7 linked regions of the Xenopus tropicalis genome follow. The protein of the gene in region 2 purifies or fractionates together with the protein of the main gene of each other region. This does not show direct contact. Links are inferred from orthologs where the notes say so. Each region holds a gene or a part of one and is shown on either strand. Other genes may lie near its edges.

Region 1 (3,500 bases), on a different chromosome or scaffold from region 2:
CAATTTTATATGTCCTTAACTTGTACTATTTACAGCAGTGTGCATGCTAAAATTAGAGCATAAAAAAAGGACTTAACTAGGGCTTTTTGTTTTTAGCCATGATTGCTCCATTTGTTATAAGTTATCTAGTGCTCATTGTAAAAGAATCAGTGGGCCCACAAACTTCTGTCTGTAGACATGTGCTCCCCTGTGCTGCAAATGAAAAAAAGCAACGGCACTCAAGGGCTTCATCCAGGGCTCTGCCCTTAAAATTCTTTATTGCGAAACATGCAACGTTTCGAGGCTAAGACCGCCCCTGTGCTGCCTCAACCCTGCAGAACGTGCAGCCATGTCAGTGTGTTGGGGTGACTTGAGACCACTTTTCTTTTGGGGAAAAGTGTGCTCACACTCCTATTAATACTTACATGTTTAAATTAGTTTTCATAGGAACATGTCTATCTCTTTAATAAAATATAACATTAACTTTTGCCATGTGTGTTTATGCACATTTTTATAGTTTTGTCACTTGTTTTTATAAAGGTTCTTCTCTGGTGTGGGTGTTTACATTCAGAATTGTCTTTTTCCAGATGGAAATGGAAATTGCCATTAATACAGTGAGTCCAAATTACTGTCGCAGCAAAGGAGAGCAGATTGCTCTAAATGTCGATGGTACATCTAATGATGACACAAGCACCTACTCAACGTATGTATATATAGCTTGCTTTTGCCTTATAAACCAATGCTTTAATGGTGCTATTAAACCCTGAACCAATACAAAGTGCGGAGACCATAAACTGGCTACTTAGAACAGACTGTGGAAAACTTATGATAAACAAAACAAATTTTACACAATTGGACGTTGATAAAGTCTTATACTGTCATACAAAATGCACTATGATCAAGTCAAATGCAGTTCAGACAGTGGACCTGCTGTGAAATGTTGCATATCGGTAAGTATGTTTTGTCTTTTTAAAAGGGGAGGAGCCAGGTGCAGCAGAAGCTTGTGTGATGGAAGATAAAGTGCAGTTGGACACTCCCAAATTACTGCAGCAATAATTAATGGTATACCGTATATACTCGAGTATAAGCAGAGTTTTTCAGCACCAATAATGTGCTCAAAAAGGCACCCTCGGCTAATACTCGAATATATACGGTAGTTACGTTCTGCGCTCGCTTGCTCCCAACCCCCCCCCCCCCGTGGACGTATGTGCAGCCTCACACCACCCCCAACCCCGGGTAGTTCCTTTACCACAGCGGAGGACGCGCATAACCAATTGTTTGAGACATTGCAGAGACTGGTGAGTAACCGTGCAACTGTGATCCACTGAGTCATTTTCATTCAGCTCCATCGCTCTTTCACCTTTGTAACTGCTCTGTGCTGTTTTCTTTCCTCACACTCGTCGCGCACGCGCAAGGCGCGACGTCTGTGTGTGCTGACGCGGTGCAGGGGGGGGGTTGCGTTTCGGTTGTGCACGTCCTCCGCTGTGTTAAACGAATATCCGCAGGTGTGGTGCATGGGGCTATGCTGAAAGGTAACCCTCTGCTTAACACTTACCTTACCTCGTCTCGACTACAGGTTAGACTGTAGGTCTGCCAACACCACGTCAATTTGTATAGCCCCTTTTGCAGTGATTCTGGCCCCCTTTTTCTGGAACACGCAACTCCCAACTCATGTGTAAAGAGTTTCTATTTGCCCATAAAAACTACTTTCCACTACTGGCTCCTGCTTATGGCTGTCAAATATAAAAGCCCTCAACAAGGAAACTTGGCAAACTGTTAGTAAGAAGGTAGGAGAGTGCAAGGGAGGAGTGGGAGCTGTAAATGTGAGCTATTATATGCAAGATGGTGCAACAAAATAGCTCCTTTCTGCATTAGATTTTTTCTTTTTTTTCTTTTTTTTTAAATGTCATGACCAATGACTTGACTTATGTATTAGCACATGAATTCATTGAACTATTTATATGTGACCTATTTACAGAATTATATGAGCTATCACCTACATTAGACTACAGGTTAGACTACTGGAGATGGCCATTTGCAATTAAACAGCTTCCTGATTTTCATTTATTTGACTTCTGTGAGGTTCTTCCTATGCTGTTCCTGAGACTCGCTTATCTGCAAGTACTTTTCTATTTGTACATCTTGGGTAGAACACATTATATAAATACTATGTAGCTGGTTAGGGTGCAGTGTGTGGGGGGGGAGGGGGCACAATAAGAGGTTGCATTGCCTAATCTGACGGTGCTTACTTGTGCCATGGCTTCATAGGTTGCCAACTACACCAGGGTATTCAAAGTGGGTCATAAAGTATATTCCCTTCCACCAACAGCATATTCTTAGTCATATCTTAAAGTCTAGTGGCATTAAGTACTTCTCTTGTAATGGGTTGTAATTAAATCTGTAGTTTGTCATTAAGGGTAATAACACACGGAACAATAGATCACTGCTAATTGTATTTGATGCGCCGGTTGGACAAGGATGGATGGTGATATTGCTGCTTATACTGTCTATTATGCAGTTCTGCAATGCAGTTCCTATTGGGCATAGGTATTACCATTCATGTTGTGGTGCTAACAGCCACATGTATTATTATAACGTATCTCTTAGGTCTGAATGTAAACTTAAAATTGCATAAGTTAGTAACAGGGGGGGTTCGCGCTGCGCTACGTGGGATATGCCACAGTTTGAAGAAAATGGGCCTTTAAGAATTAAATAACAAATGTACACATCACAATTTCAATATGTATGTAAAATTAAATGAGATATTAACCTGTACAACCTTGCATATGGTTATCTTATGTTGGATGCGCCTAATTTTCCAGCCCATACCTTGTGTTTATTAATATGGTAGTCATGTAAGCACTTGTGAGTGTCCTTTTATTAAATAATTTGATTATTGAAACTTAGCAGTAGCGGCTGCATTTCCCACCCTAGGATTATACTTGAGTCAATAAGTTTTTCCAGTTTTCTTAGGTAAAATTAGGTACCTCGGCTTATACTCGAGTATATACGGTAATTATTATACAGCAGACCCCACAACCATTGGGGTTGCTGGTGCAGAGAGGGCCTTGTCCTAGTAAGGATTCTGTGCTCCACCATCTGCCCCACCACAACTTCCGCCCTATAGTTAAATGGAAAATAAATTAATAAATTATCATGTCATTTAGGTTTATTTTAATTAATTGCTGTTTGCTCTGTTCCCATCTGTCTTTGCCAATTTCCTAGATTATTGCAGTGCATTATAATAGGGAGCTTCTAATTCTCTGTGATGGATGTCAACAAATATCTCTGTAAGGGATAGCACTATTATGTTTTCTATTTATCTAGATTGGAAGCTCGTGGGAAAGTGTCCTTCAGTCTTCTCTAATCACACCTAGATTTTAATTAATTACTTAGACCAGTGCTGTCCAACTTCTACGGTGCCGAGGGCCGGAATTTCTCTAGCATACATGGTGGAGGGTCGCTAATGGAAGCCAGTTTTGACCACTCCCCTTTTTGAAACCACACCCACTTCAAACCAC
Region 2 (3,974 bases):
GGGCTGCTGTCAGTCACCTTTTGCTTAGGGACTGATTCACAATGCACAGTATATTGTGAATTCTAGTTTGTTAATATAAAGCATATTTGTAATTAATTATATTCACAATAAATGTCACTATAGAAACCAATGTGTTCTGCATTGAGAAATGGTTATTAATCAGCTACTATGACCTACATTTCTGTGCAGCACAAATGTGGATTTCTGTGCAGGATTCTGCTGGAGAAGCTCTATTAATGGATGTGTTTTTTGGGAGAAAAAAAAAAAACATGACAATATTCCTTTAGTCCTCCTTTAAGGCTCACTACAAATTACTTTTTACATGTATTCTGGATTTCTTTCTAGATTATGCATTTGTCTCCACTCCTGTGGGTCCATGCTTTTAGGGCAAAATTAGATAACTATATTGATGGGCAATGGGACACATAATACTGTACCAGAAGACAAATGCATGTACAGAAAAAGTGGGCATAAATTTTAAAGGCAAAAACATATATGTGCCATTTGACATTTGTCATAACTACATAAATGACTTATTCGATACACATACAGTGACAAATGCACTAAAAACAAAAAAAGTCTGTGCAACAGTGCACAGTGTGATACACAGTGAGAAATCAGAAAATTTCTAATTCTGCTTTGTAATATCGTAATAGGATTATTAGCCCTAACTCTACAGATGATGCAATACAAGCAAAAATTACTAGTTATACCAATATGTTAGCCCATAGGAACCCAAATAAGGGCTTTGGTATTCTACATCCAGTAAACTGATTCAATGAGCGAACTGATCAACAGCAACGTTTTACTGAACCAATGCACACTTGCCCTATGTCAGTAAATAAACCCCAGCCTGTGTTCTTGTGTTACCAGAGGGTAAGAAGACTTGAGAATCGGAATCATCCAAAACTCCTTCTTAAAATACCTCAGTCTATACTTTGTACTTAGAGATTTAAAGCTCTTAGCTTCTAATCAGAAGCTTGGAAGAATGTCATATTCAGCATTATATAAGCTTATAATTCTTTGCAAATTAACCCTTTTGTCTTGCTGCACTGCATGTGCACCAGTACAAAATATGCTCAGTCATTGTGCTTACAGCCCACCAAATTTACAATATGTTAAAAATATGCAAAACTTGCTCACTCCTTCCATTAGGAACACTATGCTCACATCCTTCCTAGGCTAGCTCTTCAGTTTTCTAATTGTAGGCAAAGGATTCAGGTACAAGCTTTCAGCATGGATTATTAAAGGGATAACAATACGGGTGAAGATACAAGGAGCTATTAGTAGCAGCTACAAAAATAGACAGTGCTGATCATTTACTGATAATTGTCTCTACGTGTGTGTTAGAAGAGGCAATTCTCAGTATTATCTATGGTATGGTATTTTCTGGAGTTTAGTAGCCATTACAAGTAGCTGCTACTAAGTAGCTCCATGTGTCTTCACCCTTACACAGCTTCAATGAACACTGTAGAGTCCAAGATAACTATATTATTGCCTCTTTGCTCTCAACTACGATTCCAGTAATACTAGTAAGTGAACTGCTAAGCAGAGGAACTGACCTGGTTAGGATGAGAAGAGGTAAAAGGAGCCAAATTGTCCTTTACATTGCAAGACATGAAGTGTGAGGCCTTCTGAGAACAGAAGGTATTTACATGCCTCATGCCATACCAATAGCACTGCCTATGACATTTAGACTGTTCCTGCTACAAGAGGTACTCTGGTGTTTGCATTAATAGCTGGCACAGCATTACTGCTCAAAAAAGGTGCAAGTCCTGCCACTTTTAAGACAACTGCAATTTTATAAGATAACAAGCTTTATTTACTGAATTGTTGTCAATTTTATGCCCAATGTAACTTTTATTTCTTATGGAGCACAACACTGAATTTGAGTCAACTCAAAGGTCACAGTGGTACATTATGCTTAGCAAAGTCAACCGGCTGAGTTAGATCATGGCTGTGCATACTGTAGCCCTCCTGTTAAAAAGATGCTGGAAGCGTCTCACTGCCTGACCCTAACTTATAAACAGGGTACCTGTCAAATGTGCACAGACATGACAGAGTACTGTGTTCCCTATGGGATTAAGCATTTACACCTTAACATTTTCAGATTTTATGGCAGCGCCAATGGTAATACTAAGCTGCATATTCTGGTGCAAGTGGAACTTATATAACTTTCAGTAGCTGTACATCCTGCTCAATAACATACATCCTCCTTTATTTGTTTTGCTTCTCAGTTTCCTGTGCTACCTTCCTGATGGCCAATGCTCAGCCCTGTGTCATAATGGCCCTGTGTCATAATGCCCAAATATAGTCCATTTTGTACAAAACAATGGGCTCCGACTAGTCTAAAAGTTACAGTGATAAAAAGCAAATGAGTGATGTGCTGCTAAGTGGTTTATTCCAACTGTGTGCTCTTCTCTTTGCTGGGGAACAAGCCCATACTGTCTATATTAACCATGGTACAGGCTGCCCTAAGCCCGCTGGGCGCACTTGTACCCTAGTGCATAAGCGCTCTGCCCTGGCTGGCTTATGCTCTGCCACATTCACATGTGTAACATGGCACTCGTCCTCTGTTTACCTTTCCATGCTCTTCCTGAAGTCTGGCCACATCACTGGAGCTCAGCAGTTTCGTACCCTCCCTTATCTCTTCCATGCTTTCCGTCCGTCGCAAACCCCTTTGCCCCGGAACTCGGGAACCGACCGTGGTCCCACCTTCTCGGGCCCCGACTCTGAGAGTCCCACTCGCATGAGCCACTCAGGCACGGAAGGAAATTCACCTCAAACTCTCGCGAGCATGAGACCTGGGAAATCTCGTAACTAGGAAGCAAATGCACGTGGGGACTGTACGTTTCCAAGGAGGAAAGCTTTCATCAGCCTGACTCTGCTACTGTGTTACTGTGATACTGTTTTACTGTGTTACTGTGATACTGTGTTACTGTGTTACTGTGTTACTGTGATACTGTTTTACTGTGTTACTGTGATACTGTGATACTGTGATACTGTGTTACTGTGTTACTGTGTTACTGTGTTACTGTGATACTGTGTTACTGTGCTACTGTGTTACTGTGCTACTGTGTTACTGTGATACTGTGTTACTGTGTTACTGTGTTACTGTGATACTGTGATACTGTGTTACTGTGTTACTGTGATACTGTGATGATACTGTGTTACTGTGTTACTGTGTTACTGTGATACTGTGATACTGTGTTACTGTGTTACTGTGCTACTGTGCTACTGTGTTACTGTGTTACTGTGCTACTGTGCTACTGTGCTACTGTGCTACTGTGTTACTGTGTTACTGTGTTACTGTGATACTGTGTTACTGTGATACTGTGATACTGTGTTACTGTGATACTGTGCTACTGTGATGATACTGTGCTACTGTGCTACTGTGTTTCTGTGCTACTGTGATACTGTGCTACTGTGCTACTGTGCTACTGTGTTACTGTGATACTGTGATACTGTACTACTGTCTGTGTTACTGTGCTACTGTGTTACTGTACTACTGTCTGTGTTAAACTGTGCTACTCTCGTACTGTGTTTCTGTGCTACTGTATTACTGTGATACTGTGTTAGCACCTGCTGCGTGTGTCACGTCTGCAACTGTTAACTTCACTCCCACATTCCCACATGTAAATGTCAGTACATACTCTGTATTCTTACTGGATCATTAGCATGCTCAGCTGCAGTCTACAGTGCGTTGAGCCAATCACCAATGCTATTTGGGATGTTCAGATGTTCCTCGTGTTATTAACATTTAGTAAATTATAGCTGGACCTCTATTAAGTAACCTTTTAATTAGACTTATTTTTTGTGTATTTGTTTTATATTTAGCATTCAATATTTTTCATCTTTCCAGTCAAAAAATCATTTGGCCTTTATGGCGCTTTTGACCCCAAGCATCTCAAAACAGATCAACAGATTCATTGTATTATGATTTTTATAATTTATTAATTTTTTAGGTCCACTAT
Region 3 (4,110 bases), on a different chromosome or scaffold from region 2:
TACAGAGGCATCATTTTAATCCACTTCATCGGAGTGTGGCTCACAAGTAAAAAAGGTTGGGGATCCCTGCCTTAGACTATAGGCCCACTCTCCGAACTATTTTTTCTCACCCACCCTCTTTATTCTCCTAGTCTTTTTTATTTACACTATTTCTCCTCTCTGTTCCCATTCAGAAATAGGGAATGGCCATGAAGCAGGCCAAATGGTCAGGAGCAGGAGGGCCCACCGACACCTGGGCCCACCGGGAGTTTTCCTGGTATCCTGGGGGGCCAGTCCGACTGCCTGGGCTGCTGCACTTTTTGAAAAAGAGAAACACCATTCCTGTGTAGCAAGTAAGGGACTAGCACAGTGATCCCATTTAATGTTACTCCCTGAGGCCTTAATGCAGGCACTTATTTTTGAATTCCTGGCTTGGAGGCAAAAAATGAAAGTGTATAAAAATAATTACAATATAATGAACTGTTGCCCTGCACTGGTACAGCTGGTGTGTTTGCCTCAGAAAGTCTATAGTTTATATAAACAAAGGTGCTGTGTAGCCATGGGGGCAGCCATTCAAAGGAGAAAAGGCACAGGCACATAGCAGATAACAGATAAAACCCCATTATATTCTACAGAGCTTATCTGTTATCTGCTATGTAACCTGTGCCTTTTCTCCTTTTTCAAGGTTGAATGGCTGCCCCCATGGCTACACAGCAGCTTATTATATATAAATTATAGTAGAGTTACTGTAGCAAACACACAACTTTACCTGTGCAGGGCAACAGTACATTATATTTTAAATACTTTAATACACTTTCATTTTTGGCGTTACTGTTCCTTTAACCGCGCTGCCAACCTACAGGCATTAGTGACAGGGAGGAATGCAGAGTGGAAATTGTTTTCTCAATACGCCAGTATTTGGCACAATCTCTGAGGTTTTTCAAGTTTGTTTTGTTCCCCAACTCATTTTAAAGTTACTAACAGGTAAAAAAGTTAGGGTATCCCTACACTAGAACCACTTTGCTGTGTTCTCCAACTTGCCCCCCCCAAAACCCCCTATGGTTTTGCGCCAGAGTTTGGGTAAACTTAGCACAATCATTCCACAACTTTTTTTAACCATTGATGACAGTCGTCGTAGTGTTAATCAATATTTTACTATCCATGTGATCTCACAGCGCTGCCCAAAACTATATATATATATATTCCCTTCAGCACTAGGGAGGCACTCCGCAGCTCAGTGACGCCTCTGGCCCCGCCCATTCCGGAAGTCGCTGCGCTGCTTGGCGTTGTTGCCATCTCGCCAGTGTATTTCCGGGTTCCTTTGCTGCAGAGCAGAAATGCAGGAAGACGAATTGGAACGGTACGAAGTATATGCGAAATAGAAATAAAATTGCATGCTGCTGCTTGTGAGCTGTCTATGTTTTACCCCAGTGAACGCTTTATAGTGCAGAGACTGCTTGGGTAGTGGGTGAAGGATAAATAATAATATATACATGAATTGTTATGGGACAGCTGTTGCTGGGGAAGTGGGGACTGATTGGGTGCAGTTACTTTTGGGTCCTTGTTAGGAATACATAGGGGGAGATTTACTAATCCACGAATCCGAAACCGGAATGGCAAAAATTCAGATTGGAAAGAAAATTTTGCCGTCTTTTCGTCGCCGCCGCAACTTTTTCGTATTTGTCGCGACTTTTTCGTCGCCGACACGACATTATCGTATTTTGCGCAACTATTTCGTCGCCGTTGCAATTTTTTCGTATTGAGCGATTGTAAACGGCGGAAAAACCAATCCGATTTTTTCGCGACGGCGACGAAAAAGTTGCAGAAAATATACGAAAAAGTCGCAAAAATACCGATCATTGCGAAAAAAACGCATGCGGATGCCTTCGGACCGTTCGTGGATTAGTAAATCTGCCCCATAGTGTTGATCCGTAGGCTATAGAGAGCTCTTACTGGTACTGAAAGCCAGCTGGCCAGACTGTGGTTCATGTATATCACTGAAAGGCAACCAATAGCCCTTTTTGTATTGTGGAATTACAGCTTCCAGGGTTGGTTGTTGCAGTGGGAGTTAAAGTTAAACTACATCAATAAAGCAGCAATTAGAGATGTGATTTTGGTTTTCACTTTTTTGTAAAAAAAAAAAAAAATACTGGCCTTTCTATGTAATTATCTTTCTTCCCTATTAATAACATTGACATCAAGCATTATTTTGACCGGCTGGGTTGGTATAATACCAAGCAGCCATAGATGGAATTAGGATTGTGCACATTTACATGTCTCTGGGAAGCACTGTGCATGGTTCAGGATTTGTAGGTCCCATAGATTTTGCTTAGAACACTCTCAGCCCACTTATAATAAAATAGTAAACCAATAAAAGCAGTTTGGTCATGCAGTTTTTGGTGCCGTTGCCATATTAATACATATTCAGTGTACTTGCCTGGAGACCAAAAGAAGAGACTGCTAGTTGGAGGCAGATTTGTTGAAATAATGGAATTTTTAAAAAAAAAACGTAAAGTATACTAATGTTTAATAATGTTAATAGGCCTTATTTCATGCGTTTGATACATTTTTTGTCCTCTTTAAATTGGTGTAAAAGAACTTTCCCCCCAAAACATGTGTGTAGATTTTTATTTATGTAGCAATACTTATATATGTTGGGCTGTACAGCCGATATTGTTAATGCTAATTTCTTGCTCTTTTATGCCGATGCAGGAAAGCTGTAGAAGAGCTTCTCAAAGAAGCAAAACGTGGCAAGATCCGAGCTGAAACTATGGGACCAATGGGCTGGTAAGTGGTTTCTTTATACAATTTTTAATGATATATGTGCGTGTAACACTATTGTATGGTTAGTAACTGTGTTCATATTAAAAATACTGGTGTGTTTATAAAACTTGAAAAAACTGTTCTCTTCCTTTAAAAAAGGAAATGGGTAGTCAATGGAGGGAGGTGCAAACCCCTCATACAGTTATTATAATCATCATTATTATTTTCACTTAAAATACACTGGCCCTGTGTACTATTCTTGTGAGGCCTGTCCTGTGCCTATGTGCAGCATAGTAAAATGTGTAATTCAATGTGAAATGACAGGTAGGCTTCTCTTGCACTTAAACACAGAGTAGGGCCACTGCAAAGATTCAGAGAACAGCAATAAGATGACTGCATGGCGCTAATAAGGATAATACCCCAAGCCAGTCATAGGTAAGTGATTATAATCTAGGAATCCCAAACCCGAAATATGCTAATTAGGAAGAGAAAGGGGGAAAAATTGCAGCGTGCGCAGCAAAAAATTTTTCCCCCTACCATATAATCCTTACAAACATGGGCGTCCGCAGAAAATTTTCCAAGGGGGGGCAAGTAAGCTAGCATCATCCTGCAACAGACAAATATATATATATATATATATTTAAAAATATATATTTTTTTTTTGCAGGATGATACTAGGGGAGGCTAAAGATGGCCCATACACAGTCCGACCTACAGCTAATGTGACACTTAGTGGATTCGCTGCTGGCGTAAAAAGTTAACCTCCCAACTACCTCTTGCCGTTCCCACTGACTACCAGGGATACTGTACAAAAGTGCGGGTGGGGGTGCTTTTTTTTTTTTACCCTAAAATGTTTAGGATGTAAAAGTATTCATACGCGCACGCGGGATCTGCAAACATTTGTGTTTGTGATCAGTTAGCTTAAAGGGGTAGTTCGCATTCAATTCACTTTTATTTTTAATGGTTTTTCAGTTATTTAGCTTTTTGTTCAGCAGCTCTCCATTTGGTATTTCAGCAGCTATCTGGTTGCTAGGGTCTTATTTACCCTAGCAACCAGGTAGTGGTTTAAACAAGAGATGGGAATATGAATAGTTAAGGGGCCTACTTAGAAAAATAAGTAATACAAAATTATAATAATAATAAAATTGTAGCCTCACAGAGCAATATTTTTTGGCCCCCATTTGAAATCTGTATAGAGGCAGAAGAGAAAGGCAAATTATTCAAAAAAATTAATTAGAAAGACCAATTGCAAAGTTGCTAGGAATAGGCCATTTTATAACATACTAAAGGTTAACTTAAAAGTGAACCACCCCTTTAGATGTGTTTATGTTAGTTTTATAGCAAGAAAGGCAGTGGGTACTGACTCCC
Region 4 (2,746 bases), on a different chromosome or scaffold from region 2:
CTCTGGGCTGCTGGCACTTACCTGCACTTAGGGACCCACTCACTATATACTGTGTTTATATAGAATATAAATGTAACAGTATAAGGCTAATTAGTAAATAATTCGGATTCATATAACATGGCAGCTCAGAAACCGGTGCAATTAGCATCAGAGTTTAGTAATCAGCCCTGTAGCATCCGTTTATATGACAGACCAGCCTCATTTCTGCTTTATAATTTGCAACGACCCCTAAGCTCAGCTTCTCAGCAGCTCCAGAGAGTATGTGCAGTGTCCCGGACAGTTCTAACAGAATCCAAGATGGAGAGCTCCTCTGACAACTGTAAAAACCTATATCTTCACTACTATAGACATGCTGAAACTTTTGGCTAGTGCAGTCAGTTTAGTATATATTTATTTCTTGCCATATTCATTTTTAGGGTTTAGTTCTCCTTTAAATGGCAGGATAGCCATAGCAGCAACACCAGTTTACAGGCAGAATGGCAGCCTCAGGAGATCCGCACGAGTGAATTGTTGCAGAAAAACCTATATCCTTTATTTTGCAAGTATATTGCAGTATTCTCCATGACCTGCGGCTTTACTCGCCTTGTCAGGGGGAACATATCTGCTGCAGTTGGCATCACCAGGGCCTATTTTTTTTCTATTTTAACAGGTGGTAGAAGATGGGTATGAATTCTTTGCCAAGCGCCAGCTGGTCACGCTCTTCTCTGCTCCCAATTATTGTGGAGAGTTTGATAACGCCGGGGGCATGATGAGCGTCGATGAGACCTTGATGTGCTCTTTTCAGGTATTGGCTGCTGTGGGGCACGTATTGCTTGGTAACAGCACTCCACTATTAATAATTCAATTTTTTTTCTAAAATGTAGGTTTTAAAATTGAATGACTGTTTAATTCCTCCCTGTGACCTGGGGCTTCTGCTGAGCTCTGTATCCAACATTGTATTCACTTAGAGTAATTAAGCAGCTACGAGGATTAAATAAAGCTACTTCCTATTTCAAACTTGCATTTTACATAAATAGTTGGAGAAAAACAACTAACATTGTGGTGTACTGCTTAAAAATAATAGAATGGAACTGCCCTGTATATGTTGGCCATATACTGCCAGACCCACTAGTTTTGCAAGATCACCAAACAAGCAAATATGGGCCCAATTTGGCCACCCACGTGCTGTGCCCAATTGCGCTGGTCCTATCGATGGCCCTGGGGCCTATGGAGGCACGTCAAGGTTCTATTAATGCACCAGTGCGGTACTCACCAGGCGGGGTTTTCAGACCTGCCTGGTTTATATCTTTTCAGTCAGATATTGGTCAGGTTGGCCTTTGTGAGCCCCATACATGGGCCACTAACCTGCCGGCCCGCTTGGCACAAGGTCTGTTTATTGTTTAACAGAGGAGGGGGTTTACTGTCCCTTTTAAAGTTGAGATTTTATAATATATAAAGTATGTCATAATATAAACAGGTATGGGATCCATTATCTGGAAACCTGTTATGCAGAAAGTTCTGAATTACGGAAAGCTTGTCTCCCATAGACATCATTTTAATCAAAAAATTTGTTTTTAAAACTGATTTCCTTTTCCTTTGTAATAATACAGTACATGTACTTGATCCCAACTAAGATATAATTACCCCTTATTGGGGCAGAACAGCCCTATTGGGTTTATTTAATGGTTAAATGATTCCCTTTTCTCTGTAATAATAAAACAGTACCTGTACTTGATCCCAACTAAGATATAATTACCCCTTAATAGGGGCAGAACAGCCCTATTGGGTTTATTTAATGGTTAAATGATTCCCTTTTCTCTGTAATAATAAAACAGTACCTGTACTTGATCCCAACTAAGATATAATTACCCCTTATTGGGGGCAGAACAGCCCTATTGGGTTTATTTCATGGTTAAATGATTCCCTTTTCTCTGTGTTGCCTTAATTTACAAATACACTAGCAGCAGTGATGATATTTTATTTTTGAATTTTTAGATTTTGAAACCATCAGAAAAGAAAGCAAAATACCAATATGGGGGACTGAACTCCGGCCGCCCAGTGACGCCTCCTCGGACAGCCAACCCTCCAAAGAAGAGGTGAAGCGGAAACCCGCCGGATGAAGCACCATGTGATCTCCATCAAGACAAACTCCACCTTATAATAAGTGTGCACTGTAAAATCACCCAGCCATTCTGACCCCCCTATTACAATATCACATGCATTTACCTTCCTGAGACAGGTAAACGATTCCCAACTTTAAAAAAAAATTATTAAAAAAAAAAAAGGGCAAAATTACCCCAAATTGTTGCAGCATAACCTAAGCACCTTCTGCAGTCGGAGCTGGCGTTGCCGACTCCATGGCTGCACTAACAATGCTGAGGGTTCTCAAGAGCCCTGATTGGCGGGCAGAAATTTAGGGATTATGAAAGCCAAAGTTCCCTCTCATTAGTCGCTGTGCCGGCTGGATCTTCAGTGCATCCTCCAATTGACCGTAACCGCAGGAATTAAAAGAATTGTAAGTTTTTGTCGTTCCCCAGACACCCAGTGCTGGAGGAGTCAGCAGTGCACGGTGCCCACTCCTCTGGCTCCCAAGGGGGGGTTTCACTTTACCGTTGTCTCTAGAGTTCACCGCTTTTCCTTTACTCTCTGTGTGTGCGCGTGTGTATTTAGCCGTCATTTCCGGGTTGCACCTACTGTCTCACCATTGTGTGCTCTGCAGTAATTCGCCCACGTTTCCCCCTATGCTTTGGTTTTTTTTCTTCTCGTT
Region 5 (3,500 bases), on a different chromosome or scaffold from region 2:
TTTTTTTTTTTTAATAAGCCAGTCTACACATTGGAAGTAGCCAAGCATTACCTCTAACAGTTATCAGACCTCTATTATTCAGATAGAGGATCTATGATCTGCCAAACTTGAAATTGGGTTTTGTGGATAAGGGGGTCTTTATCATGTGGGCCACCATAGCATAAAGCTAACCTAATAAAGTACAAGGTTGTTAGGGTGTGGGTACTTACAGCATTTTTTAAAGATCAGGAGCTGGCAGTTGTTGGAAGATAAATTTATTTCCAGAGCGAAAAATCAAAACAAAACCGTCTTTGCTAACTTTTCACAGAAAGCACAGTTCCAACTCCAGAATAAAACACCGCACATTCAGTTACCTCTTTTCAGGCAGCTTCCCTATACTCTGAGATCTGGAGTTCTAATGTATGTTACTTAAGTATGTGAGTTTGCCTTTCCCAGCAGCCCATGCTCTTAAAGGAGAAGGAAAGGCTAGTAAAGAGTTAATCTCAAGCTGCAGGCATACCTTCAGTTCTCTCAATAGTGCCCTTAAGTCTCCCCATATTTGTCCTGTACAGATGATCAGAAGCCAAACAGGAAGAAAAAACGCTGAGCTGTGTAAAGAAAGTTCCCATAATGCTTCACTCCTGCACAGACACCCAGACCAAGTGAACATGCTCAGTTAGACTGAGTCAGCTTCCTACTGATTGGCTGAAATCCACATTCCTAAGGGGGGGGGGGGGGAGGAGGGAGTTCTTAGCATTCTTAAGGGAGGGGGGGCAGGAGAGGGGAGACAGCAGAAGGCTGCGTGTCTCTGGCACAGGAATTAGACACAAGAAATCTTTTCACAGAGAAGTCAGTGCAGCGTTTCTGCGAGTGCTTATGGCTGTATTTACATAGACCTTTCTGATAAAGCTAACTTAGTTTTTACCTTTCCTTCTCCTTTAAAGGCACATTTAGTTACAACAAAACAAACTATTAACAAAAAAAATGTATATAAATATAACTTTTGCTTTCTATTGCTCTATAAGCTTAGAATCTTATTAATAGAAAAAAAAACAGGCACAACAATGTCATTAGCATATAAGAGAAACATTTTGTTTAGAGGAGACTTGCTGCAGGTTTTACCAATTGCCAATTAAGCTCAGTGCATGTCTCCTGCTCACATTGTATTGAATGGAAACAGACACACATGGCAAGTACTATTTTTGGCGATTTTTGTAATGCTGGGTAAAACAGATAGCATAGTTTATTATTTTGTCTGCAGAGAAATAAAGTGGACAGAAAAAAAGGTTTGCTGGCCAGCAATAGAGAAGGGGGGAAAAACATTTTATACCAAACATAAAGGCAGACAAAATAAATCACTGTGCAACAAAAGGTACGGTTATTTATTACAGAGAAAATAAAAATTGTAATTTGCTTAAGGGCTGTGGCACACGGAGAGATAAGTCGCCGTTCGACAAATCTCCCTTGTCGCGGGTGACTAATCTCCCCGAAATGCCATCCAACCGGCAATTTACATTCTAGCTGGTGGGATGGCATATCAGGGAGATTAGTCGCCCGTGACAAGGGATATTTGTCGCGGGCAACTAATCTCCCCGTCTGTCACAGCCCTAAGGGTGAAGACACATGGGGCAACTAGTAGCAGCTAATTGCTGTGGCTACTAAAATAGACAATGTTGATGTTTTACTGATAATTGTCTCTACATATGTTTTAGCAGTGGTAATTCTCAGTATTGTCTATGGCAGGGTATTTTCTGGTGTTTAGTAGCCATGAAAAAGTAGTTGCTACTAGTAGCTCTGTGTATCTTCACCCTAAAATGGACTTGGAGATGGTCTTCCCATAGATTAGAGCTTTCTAGATAATGGATTTCCAAATGAGGAATCCCAAATCTGTACTTTATCAAACATCTGTTGGTACAGAGGAGCTTCAGTTCATCTCACAGGTTCAGATGGCATATACAAGAACACACAAAATGGTTGGTTAGGCCCCCTTTGCCAACAAGACTAAAAAGGTAAATACATTTACTGTTTGTAACTGAGCCAACCATTTCTTGAAAAAAGATTTACCATTTAGGGATGAGTAATTTGGCATTAATAGGTTCATTTATCAATATAAGTGAATTTGCCATGTTGCCAATACTATTGCTATAGCTTCCTTAGGGAGAAGAGATTTATTAATAGCTGCAGTGGCCTTTGCTCACCATTAGGTGGAGATGCTTGATAATCAGTTGTTGCAGAGAGAGTTTGCACACATTTCTGATGTCTGTACAGGTTTGACTAATAAGTTTCCAGTCAGAACTAGGTTATTCATGAACGGTAGCATTATGTCTACCATAAGCAGGAAGTGACATGTATAGGTAGACTAGACCAGATCAAACTTGTGCAGCCCTGCTAACTGGCAGGTAAGTGGAATCTACTCTACCAACATAACCACTGGTAATTAAACACGGCACTTACCACATATTTTAAGAGGAGCTTCAAGCTCAAGCAAGATTGGCTGACTGAGGAAGATTTCCCGAGACTTCAGACAGAGCCCTCGAATCTCATTCTCTTGAAGCTGAACATTTTTTCCCGGTTTTGATCCTCTAACTAGAACAAAATTAAATGGTTCAACATAAAGGGTATAATAAACCATGACATTCAATTTTGAAAATAGTATACTAAAAAGGGTTGATATTTTAGAAAAATCACATCCTGTAGTCATGAATATATGAAGCCCAACCTCAATAAGGGTTTAAAATGCTGCTGAGCCACTGTGGTCCATCAAGACACACCACTCACTTGTAACCAATAATCCTCACCCAAAAGCAAGGGTAGGTAGGTAGCCAGTCACCGCTTTATCTGGTTTCTAATTGACTAATATGTTAAACAGTCAGCCTGGTTCTAGCATATTATGGGGAGAAATAATGCAAATTAGTACAACAGAATACTTAAAAAGGATGTTCATACTGCAATGGCACCACTCTATATTGACACTACAAGTACAATTTTAAAATAGCAACCAAGAATGTGAATGACCAATCAATGTAAAGTTGATTTTTGTACCAATGTATTAGCCTCATAGACAACTGCAGTTTGTAGGACTATGTTCTTGCTTGATGTAAGATACATACATAAATACACTAAATGAAAACATGAGTTCGAATCCCAAATGGGATAAATTCGGATTGGATACGATAATTTCTTAAGATCGCAAATATCACGAATATGCTTATGAAAAAATCTCATTAGTCACGATATCGTATTGCCGATCCGAAAGTCTTGAAATTTTCGTACCGAACAATCGTAAAATGCAGGCAACCCTTTCCGACTTTGATCCTTCTGTGCATGATTTTGGAAGCCTCCCATAGGAATCAATGGCACTCTGCAGCTCCAACCTGGCCCAAGGAAAGTCTCCCATAGGGCTCAATGGCACTCTGCAGCTCCAACCCGGCCCAAGGAAATTCTCCCATAGGAATCAATGGCACTGTGCAGCTCCAACCTGGCCCAAGGAAAGTCTCCCATAGGGCTCAATGGCACTCTGC
Region 6 (4,196 bases), on a different chromosome or scaffold from region 2:
GGATGTTGGGGAGGACGCTGGGGGAAGCTGAAGGATGTTGGGGAGGACGCTGGGAGGAGCTGGAGGAAGGGAAGGGGCAGCTGGAGGATGTTGGGTGGGATGCTGGGGGAAGCTGGAGGATGTTGGGTGGATGCTGGGGGGAGCTGAAGGATGTTGGGGAGGATGCTGGGGGGAGCTGAAGGATGTTGGGGGGAGCTGAAGGATGTTGGGGAGGACGCTGGGCGGAGCTGGAGGAAGGTAAGGGGCAGCTGAAGAATGTTGGGGAGGACGCTGGGGGGAGCTGGAGGATGTTGGGTGGATGCTGGGGGAAGCTGAAGGATGTTGGGGAGGACACTGGGAGGTGCTGAAGGATGTTGGGGAGGACGCTGGGGGGAGCTGGAGGATGTTGGGGAGGACGCTGGGGGAAGCTGAAGGATGTTGGGGAGGACGATGGGGGAAGCTGAAGGATGTTGGGGAGGACGCTGGGAGGAGCTGGAGGAAGGGAAGGGGCAGCTGGAGGATGTTGGGTGGGATGCTGGGGGAAGCTGGAGGATGTTGGGTGGATGCTGGGGGGAGCTGAAGGATGTTGGGGAGGATGCTGCAGTTGGGAGCGGCCCATAGTATGGGGACACCGGGGGAGGACCAGCAGTATTTTAGGGGGTCCCTGCTCTAGCACCAATGCAAAATATAACACCTGGCTACCTATATTTTAGGGGGCCCTGCCTACCTATGTCCGTCATGAGTCTGTCATTAAATACAGGTGCCATAGTGCATAATGAAATCCTTAGGGCCACAATATGTCATAAAATGATTGGGGCCACCGTGTCTGTCTTATGGTGCGCTTTGTGTATGTTATGCTTTTCAGGCGTGGTTTTGTAAAATGGGCCTGTTTGGGTGGGGGCGTGGCCAAAAGTGGGTGTGGCCTAACAATTGTGCCGCGCTACGCGTGGCAGATATTTTTGTCCCTCCTTCTGCTTTTCAAAGTTGGGGGGTATGCAGTACTCATTTATCAACACCCAGCAAAGTTGGCCATAGGTAGCAACCATGGCAACAAATCAAATTGTTTCTTTCATTGTTCCACATGCAGCTGGCTAAAAAACGCCCACAAGGTTACTGCCCACAAGCAAATTTTCCCAATTTTGGTAAATGAGCCTCATATGTTCCCGCATAACAGTTCACTGAGGATTAAGTGTTTACAGTACAGTATGTTCCCTTAAGTGTTCTCTCTCCATACATCTCCCTGAGCCAGCCAAGATCTCATTTGCAGAATTTGATTCTTTTCAATCTGCCGCTAAAACATAGCCTTAGCCTCGAAAGTGCGATCACATGGTATTGTCACGTGATGCCGCAATGTTCTTACAGAGGATAAGGAACTAGCTGCAACCACCCGAAAACATTGGCGTTAGAGAAATGTGAAAAAATAGCGCATTGTCTTTCTCGTCACTTCCTGTTCTGAAACCGGAAGCAGTGTTGATGAGTTTTGTTTTCGTCACTTCTTGTTCCAAAACTCAAGCGGTCTCTTCACGCAGTGGCGATCCTGATTGTTTGCAGCGCGTTGAAGGTTTAGCATATTTGTTCCTAGTATATACTGTGACTTATACTCTCTCAAAATGTACGATGCTGATGAAGGTAAGGGCGCTGTATCTTGTTCGACACAATGCTTTTTCTCTTTTCGCTACCTGTTGTCGCCAACAAATGAAGTAAATCATGGTTTAATAGGTTTTAGATTGTGATTGGTAAGGCATTGGCATTTTCAGACGATGTTACCATCCTTCAAGCATTTGGCATTTCTTTATGTAAGTACCAGCTTGTCTGTATTGATAATATTTGCAAGATATTCTAAATGTTAGGCATCCCCCAACTGATTGTAATAGCTTACATGATACACCTGTCTTGTGTTAGCAGAAAACTGCACTGCCCCAGGGTATTTCTGCAAAAATTCTAAACTCAATCTTTCTTCATCTTAATTTCATTGGGGTGCAGACATGCAGGCATGTGCCTTCTGGAGCACAGGAGCACCTGCCTATCAGTTGCCCAGTGATTTAAACTTTCCCTCTACTTTAAGATTAGTTTCTGGCATTTCCCTAGAACTGCTGTGAAACCTATATAATCAATCTGTAAAAAGTTGGCAGACTGGCTTACCAAGTGGTCCTGGGAAACATGAGAGTTGGGAAATAGAGTATTTCCTATTTAAACTTAAATTTTAGAAAAACTTAGAAAGTACTATTAATTAACTATACTGTTAATTAGTATTATTAACTAAGTAAAAAAACATATGTTTTGTGAAGGCTACCCATTCTGTTGGTTACTTTTAAAGGGGATGGTGTAAAAGATGTTTTACTCCTACATAATTATATTTTGCTTTGCTAGATATGCAGTATGATGAAGATGATGATGAAATCACTCCAGACCTGTGGCAGGAGGCATGTTGGATTGTTATTAGGTAAGACTGTTTGGTTTGTATTTTTTATTTTGCTTATGACACAACAAGAATTCTCATTTTGGTAGATATATGTTAATAGTTAACTGCCTGACATGTTACTTGATATAGATGTAAAAATATTTACACAGAACCTTGTCTCAGAAAACCATGTTTCTGAGCAGAAGGGGCAGCAGAAATCAAACCCTGGTAACTAAATACTGGTACTTTAACTAGAAATGTTAGCTTTTCTAGTGCAGATTCCAATCATGTTCTGCAGTAGTAATGCAGAAAAATGGCATCAGGAACATAGCACCAGGGTGGCACATAGTCGCCTATGAAAGGCTCTATCACATTAATATGGTCTTTGTGATTGAGTTTGGGTGGTTCCACTGGACTGTGAAGTATGTTAAGACACTTTCCAACATGCTTATAGATCCACTAGTAATCATGCAGATATTATAGCAATAAAGATTAATATATATTTGGATTGGACTGGATGTCGTAAGGACAAAAAAGCACCTTGGAAACTTTTTTTCTTGATTGTTTTCTTTTAAAAGTAAATAAGCCTCAGAAAACATGCCCATGTGTTGTTAGTTTAGTCATTGTCAGCCCAGTGGTAACAGCATTTTTTTTTAAAAGTAACTTTTTATTAATTAATAACATATAATGGGAGAAGGAAGAGAGGTAGAAGTTGGAGTGTGCATTTAGGAGACTTAAGTTACAGACGAGTTAAGCCAATAATTCCATATCTTCTCGAACTTATGCAGACATCCTCTGGCCTGGTAGGTTAATCTGTAGAGCTCCAGCCAGGAATATACCAGTTTTATCCATTTATGGAGTGATGGAGGAGAAGGACTCCTCCAGTGTAGGGCAACTGTTTTGTTGGCGTAAAACAAAAGTGTTCGCATAAGTAGTCTGGAGGCAGTCCTGGATAACAAACCCAACAGACATATAAATGGCATTAAAACTTTAAGTTAGGAGAGTACATCTGAGAGTGTATGACTTATCTCCAGAACCTCTGAAATCCAGATAGTACCATAATAAATGTATGAAGTCAGCATCAGAGACATTGCAGCAAATGCATCTGGAGTGCTCTGCGTGACCCATTAAGTGCAGATTCTTTGGTGTTAGGTAGGTATGGTGCATAATTGAGTTGAATTGTGAAGACCGCTCTCCTCCCACTTTAGTTTAACCCTGGGTCTGGGGTCATATTTTTTCTGTTTTATGTCTGGAGAAAATATAGTTGTTGACATGGAGTTTCCTGGGTTTGCTATGTATAGGAGGGTATCATCAGCATAAAGGGAGATCTTCTCCGCCTTAATATTTTAGTCCCTGAACCTGGGGGGTTTGCTCTGGCAATAAAACCCATAGCTCTCCTAATCAGACAAACAGGAGAGGGGATAGAGGGGTTTAATTCTCTGTGGGTTTACTGTACATCATACTTGCCGTAGGTATGGCCATTCCATGGAATTGAATGCTATAACGGTGTCAATGGATGCCACTAAGCGTGTTCCACCATTGTCATGTGCTATTTGTAAATTAAATATAAGAAATCAATTCTTATATTGATGGCCGTGGATTTGGAGGGGATAAAACCAGATTGGTCTGGATGAACCAGTGTTGTGATAACTAATCTTCTGCACCTCTAGATCTTTTGCGCATATGTGTTTTTTTTTTAGTTTTTTTTTACTGGAGAAGCAGCCAGCTTTATCTGCAGCTTCTTTCTAAATCTTGTTGCATTATAGTACATATTCTGTTTTGTAACACAAACTTGTAATGCTTTACATGCATTTTC
Region 7 (4,026 bases), on a different chromosome or scaffold from region 2:
CTGAGCCACAGAGATGCCTGACACCCCAACACTGAGCCCATAGAGATGCCTGACACCCAACACTGAACCATAGAGATGCTGACACCCCAACACTGAGCCACAGAGATGCCTGACATCCCAACACTGAGCCATAGAGATGCCTGACACCCCAACACTGAGCCACAGAGATGCCTGACACCCAACACTGAGCCATAGAGCTGCCTGACACCCCAACACTGAGCCACAGAGATGCCTGACACCCCAACACTGAGCCACAGAGATGCCTGACACCCCAACACTGAGCCACAGAGATGCCTGACACCCCAACACTGAGCCACAGAGATGCCTGACACCCCAACACTGAGCCACAGAGATGCCTGACACCCCAACACTGAGCCACAGAGCTGCCTGACACCCCAACACTGAGCCACAGAGATGCCTGACACCCCAACACTGAGCCATAGAGCTGCCTGACACCCCAACACTGAGCCACAGAGATGCCTGACACCCCAACACTGAGCCATAGAGATGCCTGACACCCCAACACTGAGCCATAGAGATGCCTGACACCCCAACACTGAGCCATAGAGATGCCTGACACCCCAACACTGAGCCATAGAGCTGCCTGACACCCCAACACTGAGCCACAGAGCTGCCTGACACCCCAACACTGAGCCATAGAGCTGCCTGACACCCCAACACTGAGCCATAGAGATGCCATAGAGCTGTCCCATAGCAGAGGAAGGATGGGTTCGGGCTGAGGGAGATGAGTAGATACAGCCTATTGGGGGAAGAAGAAGGGGGGGGGGTTGCCATGGCTACCGGGGGCTGCTGGGACCGGTAGTTCGGTAAAGGGCGGCGTTCCGCTCTCTAGGGGTATGTTACGTCATTTCCGTTCAGGCTTCCGCACCCCTCCCTCCCCCGGCTGACTGTTGTTCTAGCAGCGGTTGCCAAGGATACGGGCGGAACCGCGCAATAATAGGACCCGCTCGCTACTGACGTCACCGGCCGCAGATCTATAGGCTAGGAGTTTGCCGTTTCCCAGCCAACCAATCAGCGCCTTCCTGTGCAGCTGTGTAGCCACACCCTTTTACGCAGCGGAAAAGGCGTGGCGTAGTTCGAATTCTTAGCTCACTGCCAACCAATCAGTAGCCGCTAGGAAATTTCACGCCTGCGCAATCCAAATCCTCCGTTTACAAGAGAGGCGGGGCGCGGCGTTAGCGTGTTTGCGTCATTACCCGGCGGCGAGAAAACACGTGACTTGCTAGTACTTAGCTCCGCCTACCGCGTCCGCTTCTTCCTCGCACACAGACACCGATGGGGGACGGAGAAAAACTCAATATTGACTCCATTATCCAACGGCTCCTGGAGGGTGAGCCCCGGGGCATGCCGGGAGGGGTTAGCGGGGGCCCAACCGGGAGTGGGGCAGTTACACTGTAATGGGGGGGGGGGGGGAGTGAGTGGGGCAGTTACACTGTAATGGGGGGGGGGGGGAGTGGGGCAGTTACACTGTAATGGGGGGGGGGGGGAGTGGGGCAGTTACACTGTAATGGGGAGGGGGGAGTGAGTGGGGCAGTTACACTGTAATGGGGGGGGGGAGTGGGGCAGTTACACCTGTAATGGGGGGGGGGGAGTGGGGCAGTTACACTGTAATGGGGGGGGGGAGTGGGGCAGTTACACTGTAATGGGGGGGGGAGTGGGGCAGTTACACTGTAATGGGGGGGGGGAGTGGGGCAGTTACACTGTAATGGGGGGGGGAGTGGGGCAGTTACACTGTAATGGGGGGGGGAGTGGGGCAGTTACACTGTAATGGGGGGGGGAGTGGGGCAGCTACACTGTAATGGGGGGGGAGTGGGGCAGTTACACTGTAATGGGGGGGGGAGTGGGGCAGTTACACTGTAATGGGGGGGGGAGTGGGGCAGTTACACTGTAATGGGGGGGGGGAGTGGGGCAGTTACACTGTAATGGGGGGGGGGAGTGGGGCAGTTACACTGTAATGGGGGGGGGAGTGGGGCAGTTACACTGTAATGGGGGGGGGGAGTGGGGCAGTTACACTGTAATGGGGGGGGGGAGTGGGGCAGTTACACTGTAATGGGGGGGGAGTGGGGCAGTTACACTGTAATGGGGGGGGGAGTGGGGCAGTTACACTGTAATGGGGGGGGGAGTGGGGCAGTTACACTGTAATGGGGGGGGGAGTGGGGCAGTTACACTGTAATGGGGGGGGGAGTGGGGCAGTTACACTGTAATGGGGGGGGGAGTGGGGCAGTTACACTGTAATGGGGGGGGAGTGGGGCAGTTACACTGTAATGGGGGGGGGAGTGGGGCAGTTACACTGTAATGGGGGGGGGAGTGGGGCAGTTACACTGTAATGGGGGGGGGGGAGTGGGGGCAGTTACACTGTAATGGGGGGGGGAGTGGGGCAGCTACACTGTAATGGGGGGGGGAGTGGGCAGCTACACTGTATGGGGGGGAGTGGGGCAGTTACACTGTAATGGGGGGGGAGTGGGGCAGCTACACTGTAATGGGGGGGGAGTGGGGCAGCTACACTGTAATGGGGGGGGGGAGTGGGGCAGCTACACTGTAATGGGGGGGGAGTGGGGCAGTTACACTGTAATGGGGGGGGGAGTGGGGCAGTTACACTGTAATGGGGGGGGGGAGTGGGGCAGTTACACTGTAATGGGGGGGGGGGAGTGGGGCAGTTACACTGTAATGGGGGGGGGGAGTGGGGCAGTTACACTGTAATGGGGGGGGGGAGTGGGGCAGCTACACTGTAATGGGGGGGGGGAGTGGGGCAGTTACACTGTAATGGGGGGGGGAGTGGGGCAGTTACACTGTAATGGGGGGGGGGAGTGGGGCAGTTACACTGTAATGGGGGGGGGGAGTGGGGCAGTTACACTGTAATGGGGGGGGGGGGGAGTGGGGCAGTTTACACTGTAATGGGGGGGGGGGGGAGTGGGGCAGTTACACTGTAATGGGGGGGGGGGGGGAGTGGGGCAGTTACACTGTAATGGGGGGGGGGGAGTGGGGCAGTTACACTGTAATGGGGGGGGGAGTGGGGGCAGTTACACTGTAATGGGGGGGGAGTGGGGGCAGTTACACTGTAATGGGGGGGGAGAGTGGGCAGTTACACTGTAATGGGGGGGGAGAGTGGGGCAGTTACACTGTAATGGGGGGGGAGAGTGGGGCAGTTACACTGTAATGGGGGGGGAGAGTGGGGCAGTTACACTGTAATGGGGGGGAGAGTGGGGCAGTTACACTGTAATGGGGGGGGAGAGTGGGGCAGTTACACTGTAATGGGGGGGGAGAGTGGGGCAGTTACACTGTAATGGGGGGGGGGAGAGTGGGGCAGTTACACTGTAATGGGGGGGGGGGGAGGAGTGGGGCAGTTACACTGTAATGGGGGGGGGGGGAGGAGTGGGGGCAGTTACACTGTAATGGGGGGGGGGGAGGAGTGGGGGCAGTTACACTGTAATGGGGGGGGGGGAGGAGTGGGGCAGTTACACTGTAATGGGGGGGGGGGGAGTGGGGCAGTTACACTGTAATGGGGGGGGGGGGAAGGGAGTGGGGCAGTTACACTGTAATGGGGGGGGGGGGGAGTGGGGCAGTTACACTGTAATGGGGGGGGGGGAGTGGGGGCAGTTACACTGTAATGGGGGGGGGAGTGGGGCAGTTACACTGTATACAATAACAATAATACCTGTATATTTATATCTACTTAACCCCCCCCCCAACTGACTGAGCCCATGTCCCACAGGGGAGGGATATTTCCCCTTTAATATCACACACACACAGTATCAGGGTTCCTATCAATCTGAGGGGAGCGGCCCTGTCCCAGTGGGTCAGGCTGTAAGGAATGGCCCAATAGAAAGCTGTGTATTGGGGGGGTGGGGTCAGGGTACCAGTGAGCATCATGTGTTCCACTCAAGGTGTAATTTTTTTGGGGTATGGGCCTATGATTGGTCCCTTTTTGGGTGGGGTATGGGGGAGGGGCCTATGATTGGGCCCTTGTTGGATGGGGGAGGGGCCTATAATTGGGCCGCTGTTTGA

Evidence for each region.
Region 1: the proteins of uri1 (region 2) and polr3e purify together in Homo sapiens (affinity purification with mass spectrometry; 4 studies listed by BioGRID and IntAct, with this or other methods). This does not show direct contact. The link is inferred for Xenopus tropicalis from reciprocal best matches to the Homo sapiens genes URI1 and POLR3E.
Region 3: the proteins of uri1 (region 2) and uncharacterized protein LOC496835 purify together in Homo sapiens (affinity purification with mass spectrometry; 4 studies listed by BioGRID and IntAct, with this or other methods). This does not show direct contact. The link is inferred for Xenopus tropicalis from reciprocal best matches to the Homo sapiens genes URI1 and POLR1D.
Region 4: the proteins of uri1 (region 2) and ppp1cb purify together in Homo sapiens (affinity purification with mass spectrometry; 3 studies listed by BioGRID and IntAct, with this or other methods). This does not show direct contact. The link is inferred for Xenopus tropicalis from reciprocal best matches to the Homo sapiens genes URI1 and PPP1CB.
Region 5: the proteins of uri1 (region 2) and ppp1cc purify together in Homo sapiens (affinity purification with mass spectrometry; 9 studies listed by BioGRID and IntAct, counting the BioPlex papers as one, with this or other methods). This does not show direct contact. The link is inferred for Xenopus tropicalis from reciprocal best matches to the Homo sapiens genes URI1 and PPP1CC.
Region 6: the proteins of uri1 (region 2) and polr2b purify together in Homo sapiens (affinity purification with mass spectrometry; 3 studies listed by BioGRID and IntAct, with this or other methods). This does not show direct contact. The link is inferred for Xenopus tropicalis from reciprocal best matches to the Homo sapiens genes URI1 and POLR2B.
Region 7: the proteins of uri1 (region 2) and ppp1ca purify together in Homo sapiens (affinity purification with mass spectrometry; 7 studies listed by BioGRID and IntAct, counting the BioPlex papers as one, with this or other methods). This does not show direct contact. The link is inferred for Xenopus tropicalis from reciprocal best matches to the Homo sapiens genes URI1 and PPP1CA.

Annotation. Positions count from the first base shown.
Region 1 is NC_030685.2:25,090,252-25,093,751, forward strand, and holds part of polr3e (RNA polymerase III polypeptide E), read left to right. Parts: intron 1-566; coding exon 567-682; intron 683-3,500. UniProt on the Homo sapiens protein: DNA-dependent RNA polymerase catalyzes the transcription of DNA into RNA using the four ribonucleoside triphosphates as substrates.
Region 2 is NC_030680.2:71,279,342-71,283,315, forward strand, and holds the start of uri1 (unconventional prefoldin RPB5 interactor 1), read right to left. Parts: upstream 2,801-3,974; 5' UTR 2,657-2,800; coding exon 2,582-2,656; intron 1-2,581. UniProt on the Homo sapiens protein: Involved in gene transcription regulation. Acts as a transcriptional repressor in concert with the corepressor UXT to regulate androgen receptor (AR) transcription.
Region 3 is NC_030678.2:155,277,705-155,281,814, reverse strand, and holds the start of uncharacterized protein LOC496835, read left to right. Parts: upstream 1-1,310; 5' UTR 1,311-1,316; coding exon 1,317-1,339; intron 1,340-2,691; coding exon 2,692-2,766; intron 2,767-4,110.
Region 4 is NC_030681.2:5,972,041-5,974,786, forward strand, and holds the end of ppp1cb (serine/threonine-protein phosphatase PP1-beta catalytic subunit), read left to right. Parts: intron 1-649; coding exon 650-784; intron 785-1,974; coding exon 1,975-2,079; 3' UTR 2,080-2,246; downstream 2,247-2,746. UniProt on the Homo sapiens protein: Protein phosphatase that associates with over 200 regulatory proteins to form highly specific holoenzymes which dephosphorylate hundreds of biological targets.
Region 5 is NC_030677.2:162,949,433-162,952,932, forward strand, and holds part of ppp1cc (serine/threonine-protein phosphatase PP1-gamma catalytic subunit), read right to left. Parts: intron 2,566-3,500; coding exon 2,434-2,565; intron 1-2,433. UniProt on the Homo sapiens protein: Protein phosphatase that associates with over 200 regulatory proteins to form highly specific holoenzymes which dephosphorylate hundreds of biological targets.
Region 6 is NC_030677.2:92,024,917-92,029,112, forward strand, and holds the start of polr2b (DNA-directed RNA polymerase II subunit RPB2), read left to right. Parts: upstream 1-1,396; 5' UTR 1,397-1,589; coding exon 1,590-1,608; intron 1,609-1,698; exon of another isoform or gene 1,699-1,775; intron 1,776-2,349; coding exon 2,350-2,422; intron 2,423-4,196. UniProt on the Homo sapiens protein: Catalytic core component of RNA polymerase II (Pol II), a DNA-dependent RNA polymerase which synthesizes mRNA precursors and many functional non-coding RNAs using the four ribonucleoside triphosphates as substrates.
Region 7 is NC_030685.2:488,231-492,256, forward strand, and holds the start of ppp1ca (protein phosphatase 1, catalytic subunit, alpha isozyme), read left to right. Parts: upstream 1-1,226; 5' UTR 1,227-1,296; coding exon 1,297-1,351; intron 1,352-4,026. Other genes in the region: npipb11 (nuclear pore complex-interacting protein family member B11), read right to left, coding at 865-869. UniProt on the Homo sapiens protein: Protein phosphatase that associates with over 200 regulatory proteins to form highly specific holoenzymes which dephosphorylate hundreds of biological targets.